Linked DNA regions of Mus musculus. The protein of the gene in region 2 purifies or fractionates together with the protein of the main gene of each other region. This does not show direct contact. Links are inferred from orthologs where the notes say so. Each region holds a gene or a part of one and is shown on either strand. Other genes may lie near its edges.

Region 1 (7,094 bases), on a different chromosome or scaffold from region 2:
CTGTTCAAAACACAAAACAAACAAACAATAAAGTATGAGGGCCTGACCACTCTGACAGGTGGGCTTCTTGGAAGAAGTGATATTGAAAGAGCTGCAGGCCAAGCAGGAGCTAGCAAGGCCAAGTGAGGATATATAAAAGGTTCCTTGTAGTCAGGTGGAGTGGCTTAAGCCTTTAATCCCAGCATTTGGGAGGCAGAAGCAGGTGGATCTATGTGTTTTGAGGCCAGCCTGGTCAACACATAATGAGTTCCCAGATAGCCAGGAGTACATAGTGAGATCCTGTCTTGAAAAACAAAACGAAAATAAATAGAGATAAAAGGTTCCCTGTGAGCACAGAGCATCATGCATGCAGCATGACTCTGCCAGCTGAGCTATGTGCCCCCAGCCAGGTGGAAACCAATGGGGCAGGAATGTAGATAGCCAGGGATGCAGGGATGGATAGGATTGGGCTAGTTGTGGCCATGTTCTGGAGCCAAGGCTGCTCATTGCGTGTGCATAGGTGTGTGTGCCTGTGTGAAATATCTGTGGCCAGAGGCCTGGGGTTCCGTAAGTCAGAAGGTTCTCGAAGGGCATTAGAGCTCTGGCACCCGGGCTCCTCTGTGCCAGGTTTTCGGTTGTGTGTGTTGCAGGGGGAGGAAGTGGGAACGGCTAGGCTTTCCCTCAGGAAAGCTGTGAAGGGTTGACACCCACACCCCCTCCACGTGCCAGGCATGAGTGGTGAGGGCTGGGTTACTGTAGGTAGGGTCATGTTAGAGGCATGGGGGCCCACGTAAGAGGGCTTTTGCCTGCTGCAGCATAGGTGGCAGGAAAGCAGCGGGGACAGAAAGGATGGCGTCCTTCGGGCACTTCCCTCCCTTTCCAGAGCTTGGCCATTGCCACCTGTGTGCTAGCAGAGCAGGTATGTCAGCATCCTGGGCGAAGGTGGCCTATAAGGGGGAAAACTGCTCGCCTCAGGCATTCTCTCTATTTCCACCTGAAGCCCCAAGAGGCTCAAAACCTCCCAGGAGGTGGAAGAAGATATCCAAGTCTTCCCCCATCTTCTGCTCTTGTGTGTGTGTGGGGGGCAGGACACCCCCACAGCTAGATTGTGCCGGGGTGTGCAACTTTGTGGATGTGGATTGGTGTGTGAGCAGGAGAGGAGAACGCTTGGGTTCAAGGCATTTGGGTGGGCATTGGGGTAGTGGCATATGTCATGTAAAAATGAGCTCTGAGCAGGTCACATCACCCCATTGAGTATGACTGGAGACAAGAGTATGGTTGTTCCAGGAAGTATGCTGGCCACCTTTCGTAGTCCTGGATAACTGCATCTGTGTTGCCTGGCTCTCTCTCGGTTCTCTCGGACCTTTTCTGGGAACCTTGTCGGGACTGAGCCTTGAGTTTCCAGTGGGAAGAGTCCACCTTTAACCCAGCTCCTGTCCCTCTCATGACCCCCTAACCAACCTCACTTTCCCTAGGATCCAAGTGAACGACCTGCTGGTGGAGGTGGATGGGACGAGCCTGGTGGGAGTGACCCAGAGCTTTGCAGCCTCTGTACTTAGGAACACCAAAGGCCGAGTGCGGTGAGAGTCAAGGGAACAGTCAGAAAGCTGGTCCTCTCCGCACCAGGTCCCTGCCCGGGGAATTGTGCCTGCAGCCCCCTGCCAGGCCTGCCTTCCCATCCTGAGATCCCTGATCACCACTGAGACTCAGGCTTCCACTCTCCTTGTTCCTCCATGTTCTCCTCTCGGTTTATTCTCCTCTTCTTCTGCCTCTGGCTCGCCTATGGAAAACCAAACTAGCTTCTCCCACCTAGAGCTTCATCCCAGGTCCTGTTGGGCTCCACTAAGTCTGTGTGCTCCTCTGGCAGGTCACCTGGGAACTGCTGCCTGCCCCACTTCTAGAGGGGCACTGCCCCCAGGAAAGGGTGTTAGAGAGAAACAGGATGTGGGTGGCCAGGGGAGGGGGGAGGAGCTGATGCCTGGAAGTCCCACTGTTTCCTCCCCGTGCTAATCTGCAGTTGCCATCATCCTGCCCCTTCCTGACCCGGGGCTTGGAGCACACCCAAGTCACACCTCTACAGGCTATTCCCCATTCCCGAGGATGGGCCATTTTGCCCACTCCTGTGCTGTTGGCTTGGCTTGGCTTTGTGGTTGTTGTTTCCTCTTTGGTGGGAACAGCTCCTATGCCGAGAGCCCCTGAGCCCATGTCCCCTGTAGCCCCGAAGCATGGTTGACAGCCCCTTCCCACAGCTGGCCAGGAAGGTGAGCAGGTCTTCCTGCTTCTCCTGGTAGGCAGCCATGTGAGAGCCCCAGCTCCCCTATTCATTATTTATTCTACAGCTTCTGGACTCAGGCTCTCAGTTCACCTCCCCTGGGAGGGCCTAGGTTTGGAGGGAGGGCCCCACACAACAAGGAAGGCAGTGGCATTCCCAGCTGTAGCCAGGCTGGGGTGACGCCAGAATGACAGATGACTCTGGTGCCCCTGCAGGTTCATGATTGGCCGGGAGCGGCCTGGAGAACAGAGTGAAGTGGCCCAGCTAATTCAGCAGACCTTGGAGCAGGAGCGATGGCAGCGGGAGATGATGGAGCAGAGATACGCCCAGTATGGAGAGGATGATGAGGAGGTAGGGCCGTGACTGCCCTCTGGTGGTTAGATGAAGCAGCGCACTCATTTGCCTCAACTACTTTTTCCAGGCTTGGTAAAACAAAAAGCAAAAAACAAAACAATAACAACAAAAAACCCCCAAGTCCCAGGGGAACTTATGGTCTGAGAGAGAAGCAGACCCTCCCCTCAGAGAACTCCGGGTCAAACAGGAGAGTCCCACTCTTCTGCCTCCCTATAATTAGAAGGAAAACACAGTCCTCTCTGAGTCTTTTCTCTGGGGGGAGCCCCTAATCTAGGGAGCCTGATTAGGAGAGCGATGGGTCCTCAAGGAAGCCGAGTTATGGAGGAAACAGTACAGGGGGTTCTGCAGGCCTGCAGTGTCCCTATTCTAGCCGTGGAGACCCCCCAGTCCAACATGAGCATACTGCTGCTGGTGTCCGGCCTGGCTGCAGGGTTGCTGAGGGAAGTGGAGTAGATGGACCCACATTGCCTGCATCCCTCCACAGACAGGAGAGTATGCCACCGACGAAGATGAAGAACTGAGCCCAACGTTCCCAGGGGGTGAAATGGCCATTGAGGTGTTTGAACTAGCAGAGAACGAGGATGCGCTGTCCCCCGTGGAGATGGAGCCCGAAAAGCTGGTGCACAAGTTCAAGGAGGTTGGAAAAGGGGGGCCCTGGGACAGTGGGGGAAGGCAGATGGGTAGCTGGCCCTAGGAGCTGAGTGCCACCCTCTGTCCGCAGCTCCAGATCAAGCATGCTGTCACTGAAGCGGAAATCCAGCAGCTGAAACGGAAGGTGAGGGTGCGCGTGCCTGTGTGCTCGTGAGTGCCTGCTGAAGACCCCGGCTGAACGCTGGAGGAGGGAGCTCTGCCTTCACACAGGCAGCCTCCTAACATACGACGGTTTACCATGGGCTACTGTGAGACCAGGGATATCAGGATTAAGGGCCCAAGAGCTCTGGCCCATCTGTTCCCCTATTCATTCACTTGGGTGTCTTCCCCCTCATATGTAAGGTGTGGTATAAGAGCATAGAGCTGGGTAGATGAGAAGCCACTGGGACGATATATGGAAATCCTGCAGCAGAGCCAGGAAGGCTGCAGCCTGCTTTAGGGTCAGTGCTCAGTCGAGAGTCAGTATCAGCAAGTCCACGGTGATGAACCAAGTCTTACTCCTTGTGTATGTGTGTCCTGCTCAGCAGCCATCCACTCTGCACGGGCCCTGAGATAAGATAGAGACTTTTTGACACAGTGGTGCATATAGTGACACACGCCAGCCTGAATCCACAGACCCATTCAGTTAGACACCTACACACTCCGTCTGCACCGATAATGATTTCCAGACACCCGTGATCGATTCTGTCAGGGGCATTGTGGCCTGAGTAGGTAGACCCATTCTGTCCTTGAGGTTCCAGAAGCGCACAGACACAACCACCATTCAGGCCACCCGGCCTAGGAAGAGTGTCAGAGGACGTGCACAGTTTTACCTGGGCCAGCAGCACACATGCTCGTACTAACAGCACCAGCTGGTAACCACACATGGCTACTGTACATGCCTACCAGATGCTTACAAGCACATTGGGTACCCACACGCTCCCAGGCATTGGAGACACACAGATTTCTATATATTGAAGGAGTCCCAACTCCCACGGGGTTTCCGGGATAGTAGGATAAACCAATCTCCAGGGGCCATGGAGATGCAGCACAATAGGAATATGTGTGTCCTCTCCCACATAGATGGAGGAGGGCAGGGGACGGGCATCCAGGGCAGTGCAGGGGTTTCTGGGAGCTTGCAGGCTGACTTTGGAAGGAGGCCTGGTAGGGTATGGTAGCTGTTCCTGCTGAGAGAGGTGAAGAGGCAGCTAGATGGTGGGAAAGCTAGAAAAATCGACACTGTGTAGACCTCACCCTTCAAGAACTGTAGCCTCGGTTCTGCAGGCACGGAGCTGTGGACCCTAGAATTGTGTTCGAAGTTCACCATCTAGGAAATGGGGGCGGGTGTGGGAAGGAGGCTTGGGGGTAAGAAAGACTTGAATATGGACAAACTGGTTAGAGGCTTTGTCGGAGGCTGTCAGGGAGAGTCAGGATACAGGCCAGGGATGAGAAGGAAGGACCAGGCTGCATTTTTTTGGGGGGGTGGGTGCTCTCAGGACATGAAGCAGACGGTGGGTCACAGGTGGTTTCAGGAGTCACAGGTGGTTTCAGGCTCAGAAAGCAAAGAGGCATTCAACTGACAGACATCTAAGGTAACTTCCAGACAGCTAATGCCACTTCAGGCACAGTTAGGAGTAAAGGCAGAATTGACCCTGGTCCTCGTGTGTCTTAATGAGTCTGCATACTGTTATGTTTCTACCTCAGCCTCTAGCTCAGGAAGAACCCTGTCCCGTTGCAGGGCAGGGAATGCTGCCCTACTGAAGTCCCAGCAGGCTTCTCTGGGAAATTGGTACACAACAGGCTTACAAGGAAGGGTAGATGGGGCATTCCTAGCAGAAGGAACTACCTGAAAAGGCCTTGTGGCAAGTGTGAGGGTCTGCAGGAAGGCCTGAGGCATCTAGGCTTAGAAAGCACGAGGTGTTTGCAGCAAGCAAGACAGAAGTACAACCAGGACCCGTTTGGACTGCTGTGGGACAGCAGCATCTTCCACCAGGCAGGGAAGTGATAAGAGCAGGCTCAGGCTGGGGGGGGGGGGGGTCCAGGGAACAGTGCCGTTTGGGGCATGGTACCTCAGACTTCGAGGTGGGTCTAGATTAGGTACAGGATCCTGCGGGAGCTCAGGACTTGGGGCTCTGTGCATAGAACTGCTGTGTGAGGTGCTGCTGTTTGAAGCTACAGAGAGCAGAATGCAGACTGAGCTGTCAGGAATCCAGTCCCCTGGGAGCTGGAAAGGGGCTGGATTATTCAGGAATCTCCAAAGATAGGGACTGGTCAACAAACCAGGGCTACAGAGGGCTGGCTCAGAGCTGGTCTGGTGGTGACTGTCTTTCGTAGCTACCATCTCCCTAGCCCTGAGGCATGTCACTCCCATCTTTAGGATAAGGCAGAAGTTGCTAATTGGTGGTGACTCATGGGTGCCTGCTACCGCCCCTAGCAGAACTCTAAGGTCAGCCTCAGAGAATTAGTAGCTGGGGGCCAGTTGGCTCCAAGAGTGCAGGAATCCTTAGAAGCTGTTGGCTCCCCCCAGGGCTCACTCTGGTCTCCTCCAACCCAGGGCTGCTCTTTTCTCACAGTTGCAGAGTCTGGAGCAGGAGAAAGGGCGCTGGCGGGTAGAGAAGGCCCAGCTGGAGCAGAGCGTGGAGGAGAATAAGGAGCGGATGGAGAAGCTAGAGGGCTACTGGGGTGAGGCCCAGAGCCTGTGCCAGGCTGTGGATGAGCACCTGCGGGAGACCCAGGCCCAGTATCAGGCCCTGGAGCGCAAGTACAGCAAGGCCAAGCGTCTCATCAAGGACTACCAGCAAAAGTATGTGTCAAGAGCGTTGGGTCTAGGCCCAGGCAGGTGGAGGGGCCTTTAGTGGTAGTCCCCACCCCAGCCTTCCTCCCGCTGAGGAGGGAGACAGTGGACACAGAGTTAGAGGGCACCACGATGGGGTACCAGACTCAGCCCTATGGGCCTTGGGAAAGCCTGCTTCTCTCTGGACCAAAGCCACACCATTCACCCGAACCCACCATCTGTTCCTTGCCTGTCTCCAGGGAGATCGAGTTCCTGAAAAAAGAGACAGCCCAGCGTCGGGTACTGGAAGAGTCGGAGCTAGCCAGGAAGGAGGAAATGGACAAACTTCTGGACAAGGTAGCGCCCTGGGCAGCCTACAGAGTGAGCAGCATGGAAGCTGGAATCCAGTACTCACTTAATCCATGGTGTTTGGGAAGGATTGTGGTGCTGGCTGGGAGCTCAGGGTCGTAGCTTAGGGTGGGGGTAAAGTTACAGGGCCCGTGCTGAGTGGCCAGGCCTGATGCCTCCTCTCTTTGTTCTCTAGATCTCAGAACTGGAAGGAAACCTGCAGACACTGAGGAACTCCAATTCTACTTAACAGGAATAACTCCTTGGCCGGACAATAATAATCCCCTCCCATTATCCTCACCCCCTGTCCTCAATCCCCACCCCACCCCTACCAGCCTGGGGACAGGTGCCCCGACTTCCCCTACTCCTCCACCCCACCTCCCCCAGCTTCAGGGACCAGAGGGCCCATATTACAGGCCCCTTTAGGGTGGCCAGGGCAGACAATGCTGGCTGGAAGAGTGGTCTCCTTGCCCTGTGGGGCTGAGGCGCAGAGGCCGAGAGAAGCTAAGAGCTGGCCTGGGTGGTGGATGGACACGAGGACCTGCAGACCAAACTGCCAGACTTTATAACCTCCAGCCTGTGTCTCTGGACCGGAGTGGAGCTGGGGCTCTCCCAGCATCTCACCACTTGGAGGCTGCTCCCTGCCCACAGGGTCCGTATGGCCCCTGGGCCTCTTGACTTGAGATTCTCCGTTCTTGGCCCTTTCCTCTTCCCCCATCATTGTGCTGTCTGTTGCAT
Region 2 (7,501 bases):
GCAGAGGCCCCTCCTGCAAACACGACCACCCCACCCCCTGCTTTTACTTTATAGCTATCACTAAAAAATATGCACCAAAAGTGCACCGATGTGTCCAGCATAGAAAGGACTTCTGTAGAAAAGCTGGCTACTCTAGGGCGGAGAATGGTTTAACACTGGCAAGTGTTCTTGCTCACTTGAGGGTATGGAAGCCATGGCCTGTCTGTGTTCCAGAGTTAAGTGAGGGGACCCTGTTCTGCAGTCAATTTGTAAGGGACAGATCTGGGCCCCTCAGCTGTTCCCTGCAGGACCTGTGAGATAGAGAGAAAACATCTTTCTTCCCCAAGCCCCCCTCCCCTGTGCTCCTGTGGGCAGGGACCACACACACAAGGCAGGAGCAGACGGACGGATGGGGAAAGCTGCACCCCCCACCCCCAAGGCACGTGTGCTTCCGCTGTGCTCAAAGGTTCATCTCCTGCAGCTTCACGGGCTGGACCATTTGTCTGAATGTAAATGACCTTGGGAAGAATCCAAAGTAGTTTTTGCCAAAAGTTGAAGTGTTTATCCCCAATAAGTTAATATTCTGTACAAGATCCAAGTGAGTCTATGAAAGCTTTTGACTGTTAGAAAGACGGCAGAAAGACCTGGACGAAGGCGTAACAAAAGCCCGTGTATAAAACTGGAAAAACAAACATGAACCACAATATAAATATCAAACCAACTCACTGTGAGATCTTTTTACTCTAGTAACATAAACTTTAGGTAGCATCTGAATGAAACTGCAACTTCAGCATGGCCGTAAGTTCTGACAGTTGTCGTGCTGCTCACGCGGAGCAGGAAGCTGTGGCTTCGCTGGCTTTGCCCGCGAGGAAGACTGGCGGAAGGAGTGGCCACAGCAGCTTGGGCTATCGGACAGCCAGGGCGCCATGGGCAGCACTGCGCAGCACAGGCTGTGGGTGGCAGCCTGCAGGTCCACGTGCTGCGCAGGCTCCAGCCCTGGAGTTGCAGGTCTTCCTACAAGAGCACAGCTGAGACGTGGCATTTCAAAAGTAGCCCAACATGGTCATTTCTCAGGAAATGGGCTGGCTCTTGAATTGTGCAACAGTGATTTCCATTAAAAATAACTCTTACATAGTGAAAACAACTTGTTTTTTTTTATATAATGACAAATTTGGAAAAAGCCTTCATAGGTACTGCATGAGTGGAATGTACTTGGAAAAGCTGCAGAGCCTGTGGGTTTGAAACTGAAACATGGCGACTGATGTGGCCCCGCTGATGTTCTCTAACAAGTGCTAAGAGACAAAGGGGGGTCCTTCAAAAGGAGTCAGCGAAGTCTGCACTGGCCTGTTGTAGATTCTCTGTACATCTCCCCGGACAGTGCCAGGGGCTTGTCCTTGCACTCTTGAGTCCCTGGGGACACCTTAATCTATGCATGGAGCCTGGTTTCTATATTACATCTCCATTAGTCACGTCACCAAATAGGCCGGTTGGAGGTCTTGCTCCCGTAGGACGTGGTGGGCTTCCTAGGACTACTCTTGGGGCCACAGAGAAAGGTGGTTGGTGAAGAACCCAGGAGCATGGGCCCACCCTCACGTGGACTTCTGACGGTAATGGAGGGTGAGGTCCCCACCACTCTTCCATATGAAGTGCTTTACTGTCCGAAGGTCCATATTTGGGTCCAAAACCTGAATAGCCAAAGTGCATTGAGAATGTCAACATCACTAACAGCTAAAGTTAACCAGGGACTCTGCCAGGTGGTCCAGCTTGCTCCCCACTGTGTCTAGGAGCCTGGTTTTTGCTTCCATACATGGAATCTGAAATGTGTACCTCTGCGGCTCACCAGCTCAACCCTGCCTGATGACAGAGTGCTTGTCTTGGTTGTAATTCATCGCTTCTCCACCCACCTCTACTCCAAGTTCTTTACTGTGACAGATAGCACCAGTTTACCCAGCACAGCCCTACTATGAGCATCTGGAAATCTGTCCTTTCCCAAGTACCTCCCTCAGGAGAGGGAGCTTCAGGTGTGCTGAAGAAAGTTTCCAAGAGACACAGCTCTCCAGACACCTGAGAGGCCACAAAGCACGTGGTCTGTGACTTTATGGGCCCCTCTGCATGGGTCCACTTACCTGGTCCTGGCACAGAAGTTCAATTTTCTCCTCTGCCAATACCGCGATGTCCTCCTCCTTCTCCTGCTCTGGCTTTTCATTATTAGAAGAGCTGGTGGTTTGGGACTCATTGTCCAGGTTGATAATCTTCTCGTAGACGTGCTCCATCACCTTCCGGACCTGCAGCATGTCACTGGCAGACAGCCTGTCTCTAGAAAAGATGGGTTTTCATATCAAAAATCTCTTATTATTTTTCATTTGTGTCAATATCTCAAGATAAATATAAACAGACATCTGAAATCAATACATGTTTTCAGTCATTGCTCCGAATCACTTGAAATCTGTCAGGAGAGATCCTGTGGTGCCTTCGAGGGCTCATGCACACACAACAGCCACTTGTACTATATGCCTCCAAGCCCTCGGCTAAAGCCTGGGTAGACCCACCAGTTAAGGACCAAGGGCTCAGTGTTATCTCCTACTGCTGTGCCTTCAACTAGGAGACAATGAATACCCCAGGCTAGACATTAAGCCACAGCTTGCTCAGACCACAAACCCAGCATTACACAACTGAAGTCCCTCACTTTTAAGCCCTTATCTCTGATATCAGTAAACTACTATCCTATCTCACAGCTACAGGTCAAACTGTTCAAGGATCTTCAAGTGGAGTCATTAAATCCACTTGAAGTGGCGTCTACGGCTTGCTGAAGTGATCCAATGCGTGCATGTGGAGGAGGTGGAGGGGCAGGCGGAAGTGTGGGTTGGACACTATGTTTCAGTATTACAGAGGTTTGTCCTCATTTGCTGGGTCACCAGGAACTTGTCCTCTGTGTGAGCTTGGGAATCCCTCTGACAGTTTTAACAGCCTCGTTGATTTCACTCGCTAGCCATACACACCGATTATGGTTCAGACTCCAAGTCCTCTGCTGTAAGCTTGTCTTTGAGCCATATCTACCTAGCAGGAATTAGTGGAACTGCACTCTGTGACCTGGCATTGAAATTCCGAGTCAGGAAGCCTCTGACTCAGCTGTATCGTTTCACGCCATCCTATGTATGGGAGCACACATCTCTATACCATTTCTGGTACCCGAGCAAGGTCCTGTTTGGGAAGTCTGTCTTTGGGTACTCCACCCATCCATGTGTGTTCAGGTGAGATTTCTTGTCCTCCTAGAAGGCTCTGTTCAGAGCTGGTTTGCTCCCACTTTCATCCTTTCCTAAGGTCTGTGAAAGCAGCCACTACACACAGGTTTTTATCCTCAAAGGAACTGTTTGGTTTGGAGACTGTGGATCCCCTCTGTTTACCTCCTAAGAACTGGGATTATAGGTGTGTGCCATCACACATGGCTACATGGTCTTGCTATGTAGTCTTGGCTGGCCTGGAACTCACCATTCTACTGCCCAGGCTGGCCCCTGCCTCTGCCTCCAAGTGCTAAGATTTAAAAGGCAGTGTCAGCAACTATGGGTTAAACTTAATTTTGAGAGGAGACAAAACCCAAAGCAATGGCCTTCAACCTAGCACCTGCCTCCATCTGATAAAGGGAGCTAAAGGACAGAGGCACCGCAGTGACCAGCGCACGGAAGCACAGCAGTTACTTACTTTTTTAAAGTTTTTGCTCCTGAAGATGCATGAGGTTGGAGGTAGAAAGGAATTTTGTTGAATTTGGGCATATTTTTCTGAAATATTAAAAGTTTAAGAGGTATAATAGTTTCTGTTAGCTGATAAAACTAAAATGTTATCAAAAGGAAAACAATTTACAAATAACCATTTTTACAATAAAAGTGACTTTTAGTGAAATTTATAGTAAGTTATCAATAGAAGTATGCCTTAAGAGAAAATTTCTCAGCAAGTATGCTTAGTTTACAATAAAAATAGATGAAGACAAATTATATATAGTAGTCAACAACAGTGGCACAGCTCTTCTTAAGTTATCATTTAAGGCAGCACAGGAAAACAAACCTACATTTTTAAAGTTCCATAAATCAAAATATCTGATGATTGCAGTGTTTTGAGAACACCCCAGAACGTTCACCTTTGAGCAGACACTTGGGCACTGATGGCCCATCGTCCACTGGAGAGGCTATCAGGCCCTCCTACCATCTACCTCTTCCTCAGACAGAGGGAGGGCTACCGTGACAGCTGAAATGATCCAGCCAGTTTTGGAACACAGCTCATGTCATAGGGTCACTACTGCACCCAAGTGAGTTCTATACTCAAAAGAAACAGTGGTTTATGGGAGCCTGGACAGGGATGGCCACGGACACCCAACAGGTGTCACTCTAGTTCTAAGTTCTTGAGGTGTATTTGGGATAGAAAAGAATTTTTTTTTAAGTTTCAAGAGATTAAATCCCTTTTCATATGGCTTTAGGGATATACAAGTAGTCAAGAGGACACAGAAAGTCTAGAAACAAACTGAGTCTGCAGGAATTTAGTACACTATACAGACAGCATAGCATTTCAAATTAGTAGACCGGACAGATTCCTATAAACTGCATTGGCATATGGCTTAGTTCACTGGAAAAAGAATGTCGCCTTACAGCAAACAGAGAGGCAAGTAAGAAAACAGTCAAGTCAGAGTTGATATAAAGGATATTCTAAACCGGGTGATCTCTAACAAAACATGGACCTCAGCGCCATAAAACCCACTTTGACTATATAACAAGTTCCCACCTGGGAAAGGACCTTGAACAAAGTAAAAGTTTAATGAAGGCGCAGAGGAGTCAGGTTAATTGGCACTGGAAGATCACCTGCGAGGCAGTAAGATGACGACCCAGTTAGAGAAGCGGTAAAGGACCAACAGGCAGGTCACAGCAGAGACTCACGGTCAGTATGAAAAGACTCCTAACCTCACCATGAGTAACCAAACATCCACACTGAAATCATCAGACGGTGTTTGCCGACAGAGCAGTGTTGCTGTGGCTGTGGCAATGGGGTACCACATACGGTTGGTTCAGGGTAAGCTGCCTCTGTGAAAAGGCGATTCGGCAAGATCTATCCACATTAAAACATGCATACCCTTTGATCCAGCAATTCCACTTGTAGGAATTTATTCTAAAAAGCTCATAAAGATACACGTACAAGGATGTTCACTGCAGCACTGCTTGCAATACAAAACCCTGGAAACAACGTGAGCCCATTAATAAGGGGACAATCAAATACAGAATGATACTCTTACACACACAAAATAGGGAACAGTCCATAAACACAGGCATCGAGAGATGTCCAAGACTATTTTTAAGGAAAAAAAAGTTGCAGAACACTGTAAGAGATTTTGTGCAAAAGTAAATGAACTACACACTTATGTATGCACACAAATAGCATGTATTTATGTAGGTGAGGAACGTAGCAGAGGCTGCACCAACCTCCTATTAGGTGCTCCCTCCGGGAGGAGGGCTGGGAGGATGGCTGGGAAGAGGTGGGCACTTTAAACACTGATTTCCTTTTTAGAATAAGCCTATATTATTGTTCTGACTGAAACCAGACAAAAGTAAAAGTTGGTCTGAAATAACTATCAGATGCGTTTGCACCTTTAGAACTTCAGGAACGAACGCACGCAGAGGGGATTCCGCCGGGCAGGTGACTTTTGTTACAGTGTAAGACTTAATGTCTGGGAAAAGCAAAGGACAAAATGGGAGTGAAGGACACTTACATCCACAGTGATGTCAATCACCCATTGTGGCACCGTCTCATTGAGAAGCATCGCCTCAGTCTCACCCCCGGAGTCCCGGCAGAGCAGCCTAGACACAACCCATCAGGTAGTCAGTGTTAAGACGAGCAGGAGACATCAGAGGAGAAACCCTCACAGTGCTCACTGCGGACAGCAGAGGTGACGGGAGAGCTGCTTCTGAGTCCTGGGTCACCACAAGGAGCACTCAGCCCAGGGCCTAGCCAGTGCCATGCACAGCCCAGACCTCGGCTGTGGTGAGGGCTGTAGTTTGGTTACCACGCTCAGGAACTATCACAAAGAACAAAGTCTATATTCAAGGGAAAGGCAAGCACCATCCCCACTTCTGACAACCCTGTGATACTGTAACACTTTGTCTGCTCCACCCTGGGCTTGCTGGAAGCCTTCCCTTCCCTGGAGGACCCAGAGAGTATTTTCCTGCACCCCAGGTTGAACCAGTATAGATCATAGCAGTTTGAAGGATCAGCCTCGCCCTCTTGCCTGGCCCAGTCTCCCATGGGCAGGGACTGCTATGATGATGATATTTGATTCCTGCCTCTGGCAGTCAGATTAACCACACTGGCAAAGAGAGAGAAAGTGCCACCAGAGACAGGGCCTGGAGGCAGGCATCTGGAACAGGGCAGGGTGTGTGTGTGTGTGTGTGTGTGTGTGTGTGTGTGTGTGTGTGTGTGTGTGTGTGTGTGTGTGTGTGTGTGTGTGAATCTCACCTTGGCCCTTCATTATTAACATTTACTGCAGCAGGCATCAAGTATCTCAGGGAACTGATACTCTTAATGACAACTGCTCATGTTTGTTTGGGCAGCATTTCCTAGCAAGGGGGTTGGTTTATTAAGCAATGTCTTTCTCATCCATACCTGAATAGTGTGCGACCTCCAGCTTCTCCAAAGATCACCGGGGTGTGTGGGGGCACTTGGAAATAACCATTTCCCTTCTGGACTCTGCTCTCCTGTCCCCCACTCACTAAGAAAGATAGGCAGGCTGTTAGTGCTGAGACCACAGCTTCTGAACACTGATCACACAGGCTGGGAACACTCTAACATCTTAAAAACAAAAACTCCTGGGGCTGGAGTGGTTGTTCAGTGGTTAGGGCACTGGCTGCTCTTCTAGAGGACCTGGGTTTGGTTCCCAATACCACACAGTGGCTTACAGCCATCTGTAACCCTACTAGTTCCCAGGGATCCAACACACTTCCTGGCCTCCTTGGGCACTGGGCACGTAAGTGTTGCCCCATATATACAGGCAGGAAAACTGATATCCATTTAAATCAAACCCTGTTCCTCAGTCAGTGTTAGAAAGTTAGGTGGAGGAAGCTGGAGTGAAGGCTCTCCAGATGAAGAGGGCCAAGGGCCCTCAGAGGACCTGAGTTCAGTTCCTAGCTTTCTAGGTCCAGGAGATCTGACACCCTTGTGTGGCCTTCACTTGTATCCCCACGTAATTGGCATATACATAATTTTTTTTTAATATTAAAAAAAGTAATAAAGGTGTAAAACAAGTAAGAACTAAATTCTCGAAAAAAGAATGTGGTGTTTTTTTATATATAAGGGCAGAGAATCTAATCAGAGGTTCAGTAGACTGCCCACTGTGAAACATAGCCCCCTTTGGAGGGCTTCACTAAGAGTAAATGTAGCTGACCCGGTGCCTGAGTCACGCGCACAGCCAGGCCCCAGCTCCCTGAACCTGAGCACAATGGCACCAGCTAGCATGTGGGTGTGTTTACATCAACCGGGACAGAGCCTG
Region 3 (7,501 bases), on a different chromosome or scaffold from region 2:
TGCACCAGAGCTTCAGGTCACTGCAAGAACTAGCCCATGCCACTTGAGCTCTCAGGGTCATGTGCTACGAGGGTTCCTTCAGTCAAAAATTTTCATTCTTTTGTCACCTTGTGGGCTTTATGGATTGTAAAGGAATTGCCTACTGAAGAGCAGACCCTGCTCTTATAAGATCGATGGTGATGAATATCCTAGTCCTTTGACGGTTATGGCAGCATTGATGAGCTCTCTCCTTTACTTCCTCTCCCCACGGGTAACCTGACAGAGATGATGGCTGGGTACCAAAATAGACAGTATCTACCTGCTGTGGAATGCTGCCCTGAGCAGCCTCCACAGTTATGTCTGCCTCACGCACAGCCAAGGCAGGCAGGTTTCTGGCTCTTGCTTCCAATGCTCCCCTTATCTGCCAAGTTCCTAGTGGGTGCAGACAGCAGTTGACTAGCAAATAGTCATTGTTCTAACTACCTTATATGTCCTGATGTTCCCCCAATGAGATATGCATTGCTGCTCTTCATATCTTGTTTGTGAAACCAAACTGCATAGAGGTGAAGCAAAGTACCCCCCAGGCCCAGTACAGGCAGAATCCTGAGACCCCATGGATGCTCTGGCCACCAGACATAGTAACTTGGCTGCTTTCAGCCACCTCCTTGTCCCTGAAGTCAGGAAATATGATACACACAGACAAAGATGCACACATATACACATACCATGTATATGTGTACACACACACACACACACACACACACCATCCACATAGGCCTCTAGCCTACAAATTTCTCACCAGTCGTTGTGCATTTGAAAGTCATGCTGCCTTAGAAGCATGCACCAGTCAGATATGGTCGTGGAATCCTATGACAGGCCGACCTGCAGTGTCGTCTTTGTGACTTTTGTCTGTTAGTTAACAGGTTATAAGACCAGGCAGCACTTCAGTCCTTAGAGTAACTGCCTATTCATTGTGCCTAGCTCTCAAGGGTGTGTGGCTAGGTGTCCCTGGTTTCCGTCGCTTCTGTCCCCAGTTGTCTAACTTATATTCTGACAATGCTTCAGAGTCTTTCCTGCCCTCATTAGGCAAGAGAGGCAGTTTTTCCTTTTTGTTTCTGTTTTTTTATGACTGTCATTATGGGAAGTTTGGAGGAATGACCATTGGTTGGACATGTGATGAGAGTTCTTTGCTCTTTATGATGGTCAGTATTTATAGGGGCTCCAAATATTCAATAAGTACACAGGTTAATTGACAGCGGAGGATAAGGCAAAAACACTTGGTGTTTGATGCCAGAATGGTGTCCTATAGCTGTCATAGAACAAATAGTGCTGATCAAGAGAGTCTCGGCTGGAGCTGGAGAGATGGCTCAGCGGTCTATACTCCTCTTCAAGAGGACCTGAGTTCAATTCCCAGCAACCACATGGTGGCTCACAACCATCTGTAATGGGATCCGATGAACTCTTCTGGTGTGTCTGAAGACAGCTACAGTGTACTCATATTAAATAGATAGATAGATAGATAGATAGATAGATAGATAGATAGATAGATAGATAGATAGACAGACAAATAAATAAATAAATAAATCTATCTTTTAAAAAAAGAAAGTCTTGGCTGCATGGACAAGAATGGCAGTGAACATCCTCTAGAAGAATGGTGATTCTAGCTTATCATACTTTTATTTGTTGAGTTTTGTTGTTATCTCTTAGAAGCCTGTTCTTTTCTAATGAGAAACAGAATGAGAGTGGATATAAATGGGAAGGGAAGGAGAGAAGAACTGGGAGAAGTAGAGGGAGGAGAAACTGTAATCGGGATATAGTACAGGAGAAAAGAATCTATTTTCAGTAAACGAGGAGAAAATGAAAATAAATAAATAAAAGACTTTTTCTAAATTCTCAGTGCTACACTGAGTGTAGTCCCACCAGTCTGGAATAAAGACTTTGTAGTCCCACCAGTCTGGAATAAAGACTTCTAATAGATAGATAGATAGATAGATAGATAGATAGATAGATAGATAGATAGATAGATAGATACTTCTGATAGATAGATAGATAGATAGATAGATAGATAGATAGATAGATAGATAGATAGATAGATAGATAGATAGATAGACAGACAGACAGACAGACAGACAGACAGACAGACAGACAGATAGAATGGTGGTTAGGATAAGTGTGCAGTTCATGCATAGATACTGTGTTTGTACCTATTCAGATTTTTGTGGGAATAGAGGATTTGGAAAAGTGAGTGGGAAAAGAAGCAGCCCTTTCTTGATGGTTTGGAATATAGTGCTGGGCTGTATAACTGATGCAGGGCAGCAGGCTAGACACAACAGGCCAGGACCAGCAAAACGGCTTTTAATCAAAAGGTGATCCTTCCCTACCACATATGAGCAGATACCTCTCTATGTGAATGTGTGTAGTGTCAGATTCCAGGGACCTTTTTCTTCTTGGAAGCTGAGTGGCTTTGCTGGACAGGACTAAGTCTAATCTATGGCCCTGTACCCTGTGTCATCTTTCTTCTGAATGGACAAAATGTGGTAAGGTGTTTGAGTGTTCACCCTTCTCTTTGGGTTCAGGAAACTGGGAACTGCTGGGCAGAAACTTGGTGGTGCTGCTGTCCTCTGCCACATCAAGCCTGACCCTGTGGACCTGGGAGGATCCTTTACCCTGACCTCTGCTAATGTTGGCAAGTGCCAAACGGTTCTCTGTCGAAATGGGAAGCCACTGTCTCTGTCCAGGTCATACATCATGAGCTGTGAAGAAGAGCGGAAGAGGATTAAGCAGCACAAAGCCATCATCACTGAGGTGAGGAGCCAGTTTTCCTCAGACAGCAGGAGAACACGAGCAGCACCCCCTGGTGGAGACCCCTCGGGAAACACTTGTCTTCAGAGGAAACTTGATGTTAGTTCAGATGTAGCTTTCCAAGTCCATGGTATTACAAAGTAAATTCCTTGGTGCTGTCTTTAGATTACTGAGGAATATCTCTATGGATTATTATAGAATAATAAGGCAGTCATCAGTTGCATAGAGTTGGGAATGCTTCCTGGGAACTGTCCCAGTGGATCTCAGAGCTACTGGCTAAGTGGCTGAGAACTGGACTCCTGAATCACACTTCTGCTTTGTATCTCAGCTATGTATAAAGTAGATATCAGACACCTGCCTTGCTTTACAATGGTAGTCTGGCACAATAACTGTGGTGTCTGTATAACTATATAACTATTTTCTGTTTTGCCAGTTGAATAATACTGTTCTCAGGGACAGGAGGCAAAAATACAAGGCCTATAGATATATTTGATCATCAAAATCAGCGCATGATTGCCATAGAGAGAGGAGAAGCTAGATCTATGGCTAAAGAGGTTACAGTGTGGGCATAGTCCCACAACAAAGATTTACCTGGTCCCAAATGGCAATAAAAAAATAAAAAAAAAAATTGCTGTTTTAAAACAAAAAACAAACAAAACCAGCTAGAATAACAGTAGAGCATGATCCATTGTCAATGAATCTTGAAAACTAGCTTCTGCAGTTCTTTATTTGCTAATTTACCAGCATGTCAGTCACTCAACATTACCTGGAAGTACCCATACACATCTGCTGACAAGAACCTAACCTCCTCTTAGCAGTAAAACTCACAGAACAATGCACTGTCTGAAGGTGAGAGGGAAGGGGAGTGTCCAGAAGAGAAAAAGAGGCTATGTTGAGCATCCCAGAAAGACACCAAGGTGCCGTGAGTCCTTGGACGTGAGCACACATATAAATTGAGTTCCCTGTCTGTCCCAGCACTGAAGGTTAAAGTGGATGTTGAGCACAGGTTAGGAGAGTGGGCACTGTACTGCTGTCCAGAAGAGTGAGCTGAGCGGCAACACTGTAGAGAAAAAGATGTCTGCCACATGCATCAGAGTTCGTAGGTCAGTTGTGTTATCCCCTTTCCTCCCCTGCTTCTCTTCCTGACTTCTGCTTGCTCTGCTCAGTCTTCAACAGTGACTAGTTCTCACACCACCCCTTCCGTTCCTTGAAGATGCCCTCAAAGCACAAACTGGGGAGAAGGCTGAAGGGTGGCTAGAGTAGCCAGCCCCCACACCAGGCAGGGCGGATTTCATTACTAGAGTCAAGGGTGTTTCAAACTGCTTGAAAGGCTGTTTTACTCATCTTAGTTCCTAGGCTGCCCCCTGGTCTAAGCATGGCTGCTGAGGTCTCTTTGGAAAGGCACCCAGGAACAAGCAGATAACTCGGGAAGCACAGGAGGAGGCAGGCACTGAGCGGAAGCACGGGGCATTCTCTTGAAGAAGCACTGTTTGTGAGTCCAGAGACTCACAAAAGTTGTATCCGCCATTGCAGAACCTTGTGTGGCAGGAAGTGTTAGAAGTAGGAGAGTGGGGGTGGATGTGGCTGTAAGGCAGAGATCCTCACACCTGGAAGGTAGAGAACACAGCAGCTGCATGTAGCTAAGATTTAAAAGTACTCATCTTTTCCCCCAGCAAATGGCCTGGATTTGGCTGCTGGTCTAAATAGAACCAACTGTCTAAGACTGGGCACCATGGTTTCTACATTTGTCCTTGTAAGTCAGGTTCAAGAAAGGCCTAAGGATGGGTACTTCTGTTAGCATTGCCTCTCCAAACATGTGAGCACTGTGACTCAGATACAGACATCCGTGGGTCACAACAGACTGACTCCCTAGCCCTTTTCCATGCTGATTGTGCTGCTGGACAGTCATGAGGTTGGACTGTACCTACCCTGGGTGTTTCTATGGGACTTACCTCTCTAGAATCTAATAAGCATGCATGCCATGTGAGGCTGTACATCAGCTTGTCATGAAGAGACATACCATTTAGTATAAATGCAGTCCCTGTTAAAGGGATGGCTGAAATACTTCTTTTTGTTCCTCTACACTTCAGCCTTTCCATATAGGGTGTGTGAGCCTCCTTCGTGGGATGCCCAACACCGTCCTGTGACCCAGTCAGTGGCCCAGAGGGAGGCTGCTCAGTAACCACATGTGCTCTGTGCTCACTGTCTCTTTGGAAATTTTTCTTCTAGGATGGCAAGGTCAATGGAGTGACAGAGTCCACGCGCATCCTGGGCTACACCTTCCTCCATCCCAGTGTGGTGCCTCGCCCCCATGTGCAGTCGGTGCTTCTGACTCCACAGGATGAGTTTTTCATCCTGGGCAGCAAAGGGCTGTGGGACAGCCTATCCATTGACGAGGCTGTGGAAGCTGTACGCAATGTGCCAGATGCTCTGGCTGCTGCTAAGAAGCTCTGCACCCTGGCTCAGAGCTATGGCTGCCATGACAGCATCAGTGCTGTGGTGGTACAGCTAAGTGTCACCGAAGACAGCTTCTGCTGCTGTGAGCTCAGTGCTGGAGGGAGCATGCCACCACCCAGCCCCGGAATCTTCCCACCATCCGTCAACATGGTCATCAAGGACCGACCCTCAGATGGGCTGGGTGTGCCATCCTCCAGCAGTGGCATGGCATCTGAGATCAGCAGTGAACTGTCTACCTCCGAGATGAGTAGTGAGGTGGGCTCCACAGCCTCTGATGAGCCCCCGTCTGGAGTCCTGAATGAGAGCAGCCCTGCCTACCCCAACGAGCAGCGCTGCATGCTCCACCCTGTCTGCCTGTCTAACTCCTTCCAACGTCAGCTGTCCAGCGCTACTTTCTCCAGCGCGTTCTCTGACAACGGCCTTGACAGTGACGATGAAGAACCCATTGAGGGGGTGTTCAGCAACGGCAGCCGGGTTGAGGTGGAAGTAGACATCCACTGCAGCAGGGCCAAGGAAAAGGAGAGACAGCAGCACCTACTTCAGGTGCCAGCTGAGGCCAGTGATGAGGGCATTGTCATCAGTGCCAATGAGGATGAGTCAGGTCTGTCCAAGAAGGCAGACTTTTCTGCTGTGGGAACCATTGGACGACGCAGGGCTAATGGCTCTGTAGCTCCCCAGGAAAGGAGCCATAATGTGATAGAGGTTGCTGCAGATGCGCCTCTCCGGAAGCCAGGAGGCTATTTTGCAGCCCCTGCTCAGCCAGATCCAGATGATCAGTTTATCATCCCCCCAGAGCTGGAAGAGGAAGTCAAAGAAATCATGAAACATCACCAGGAGCAGCAGCAGCAGCAGCAGCAGCAGCAGCTGCCACCACCACCCCAGCCGCCACAGCCACAGCCACAGCCACAGCCACAGCCACAGCCACAGCCACAGCGGCACTTCCAAATGGATCACCTGCCAGACTGTTACGATACACCGCTATGACCCAGCCTGAGTACTGTTTTAAACAATAAACTAACCAGAGAGACTGAGAGTCTCCCAGGCTCACATTAAACCAGGGGTGTTAACTTCATGCCCTCTCCCAGACACTGCCCCACCTGTCTCTGCAGCTCATCTGTAGGTTCTCTTTGTATTGGTTACTTTTAACAATTAACCACTTTTCTTCTAGTGATACTTTACCAATATGATTTAAATTTGTTAACTTCTTTCCCTAACATATCAACTGTGTAAAGACAAAGAACAAAAGGTTTAATATATTACAGAGAAACAGTTAATGATAATGTAATATTTTTAAAAATGGCTTTTGTTGTTTTGTTTGTTTGGAAGGCAGGGCAAGTTGCCATTGCTAAATGATTTAATAATATTGTAATTGTGTATTTCTTTGTGGGGAAAGCTTTTTTTTGTCTTGAAAATGGTAGACATTTGTAGAATATGGCGACTAACTCCTAGGAGTTGCTTTACTCTGTCAGGTGACTTAAGTCACTGGGAGTCACTAATTTTCTCTGAGAGAACAGTTGATTGAGAAATTTCTATTGTAAATATCTCAGTGTTACATAGTGAAGCTTAAAGTGTTTGTAGTCTTGCATAAGGACACAGCCTAAATAACTGACCCCTTACTCGCTCTGAAGAGCCTCCCTGCCCCACCCCTACGTAGCTCATCTTCAGTGTGGGCCATGTGCAGCGTGTTTCTGTGCAGATAATGTGGCCCTGTTCTCGGGAACCCAGAACCTTTTACAGACATTTTTTAATTGTGTTCCTTCCTGCTGCCACAATCAGCATGACTGTATAGAGTCCCTTATACCATCTACACATCCAGAGTTATATGGAAGCAGAATGCCCAAATGGACATGTCGTAATTTTTGTTATAATAAATATGAAATTTACAAGTACTGAATCTATCTGCTTTTGTCTCAGCATCCAGGTGTGTCTCACAGCCAAACCAGTTTAGGATTAGAAGGAATAGATGGGGGTGAGATTAACCAACATTATGGTTTGGGGTTTGTTTCCTTAATAGTCAAGTTCAGCTGCAGTGAATGAGGTAGTAGAATCGACCTTCTGGTCAACCGCACACACAGCTGTTGTTACCCTTTTCTTTTTATGATTATGCAAGGTAGTCCTCACTGGAAGAGAGGACTGGATGGGGACTGCATAGAGGAGAGCCCTGCAGAGAACCTGCAGACCTCCTACAGAACCAAGATGGGTTTCAGCTCTTCCAGGAGATCACGTGAACAGGTCCATGCACCTTCCATTGTAACTGTCAATT

Evidence for each region.
Region 1: the proteins of Wdr48 (region 2) and Ppp1r9b purify together in Homo sapiens (affinity purification with mass spectrometry; 3 studies listed by BioGRID and IntAct, with this or other methods). This does not show direct contact. The link is inferred for Mus musculus from reciprocal best matches to the Homo sapiens genes WDR48 and PPP1R9B.
Region 3: the proteins of Wdr48 (region 2) and Phlpp1 purify together in Homo sapiens (affinity purification with mass spectrometry; 5 studies listed by BioGRID and IntAct, with this or other methods). This does not show direct contact. The link is inferred for Mus musculus from reciprocal best matches to the Homo sapiens genes WDR48 and PHLPP1.

Annotation. Positions count from the first base shown.
Region 1 is NC_000077.6:94,998,753-95,005,846, forward strand, and holds part of Ppp1r9b (neurabin-2), read left to right. Parts: intron 1-1,454; coding exon 1,455-1,559; intron 1,560-2,466; coding exon 2,467-2,602; intron 2,603-3,089; coding exon 3,090-3,242; intron 3,243-3,326; coding exon 3,327-3,380; intron 3,381-5,808; coding exon 5,809-6,038; intron 6,039-6,268; coding exon 6,269-6,365; intron 6,366-6,552; coding exon 6,553-6,606; 3' UTR 6,607-7,094. UniProt on the Homo sapiens protein: Seems to act as a scaffold protein in multiple signaling pathways. Modulates excitatory synaptic transmission and dendritic spine morphology. Binds to actin filaments (F-actin) and shows cross-linking activity. Binds along the sides of the F-actin.
Region 2 is NC_000075.6:119,918,872-119,926,372, reverse strand, and holds part of Wdr48 (WD repeat-containing protein 48), read right to left. Parts: intron 6,725-7,501; coding exon 6,619-6,724; intron 5,817-6,618; coding exon 5,729-5,816; intron 3,756-5,728; coding exon 3,679-3,755; intron 2,296-3,678; coding exon 2,106-2,295; intron 1,665-2,105; coding exon 1,569-1,664; 3' UTR 1-1,568. UniProt on the Homo sapiens protein: Regulator of deubiquitinating complexes, which acts as a strong activator of USP1, USP12 and USP46. Enhances the USP1-mediated deubiquitination of FANCD2; USP1 being almost inactive by itself.
Region 3 is NC_000067.6:106,387,119-106,394,619, forward strand, and holds the end of Phlpp1 (PH domain leucine-rich repeat-containing protein phosphatase 1), read left to right. Parts: intron 1-2,555; coding exon 2,556-2,784; intron 2,785-5,010; coding exon 5,011-6,222; 3' UTR 6,223-7,127; downstream 7,128-7,501. UniProt on the Homo sapiens protein: Protein phosphatase involved in regulation of Akt and PKC signaling.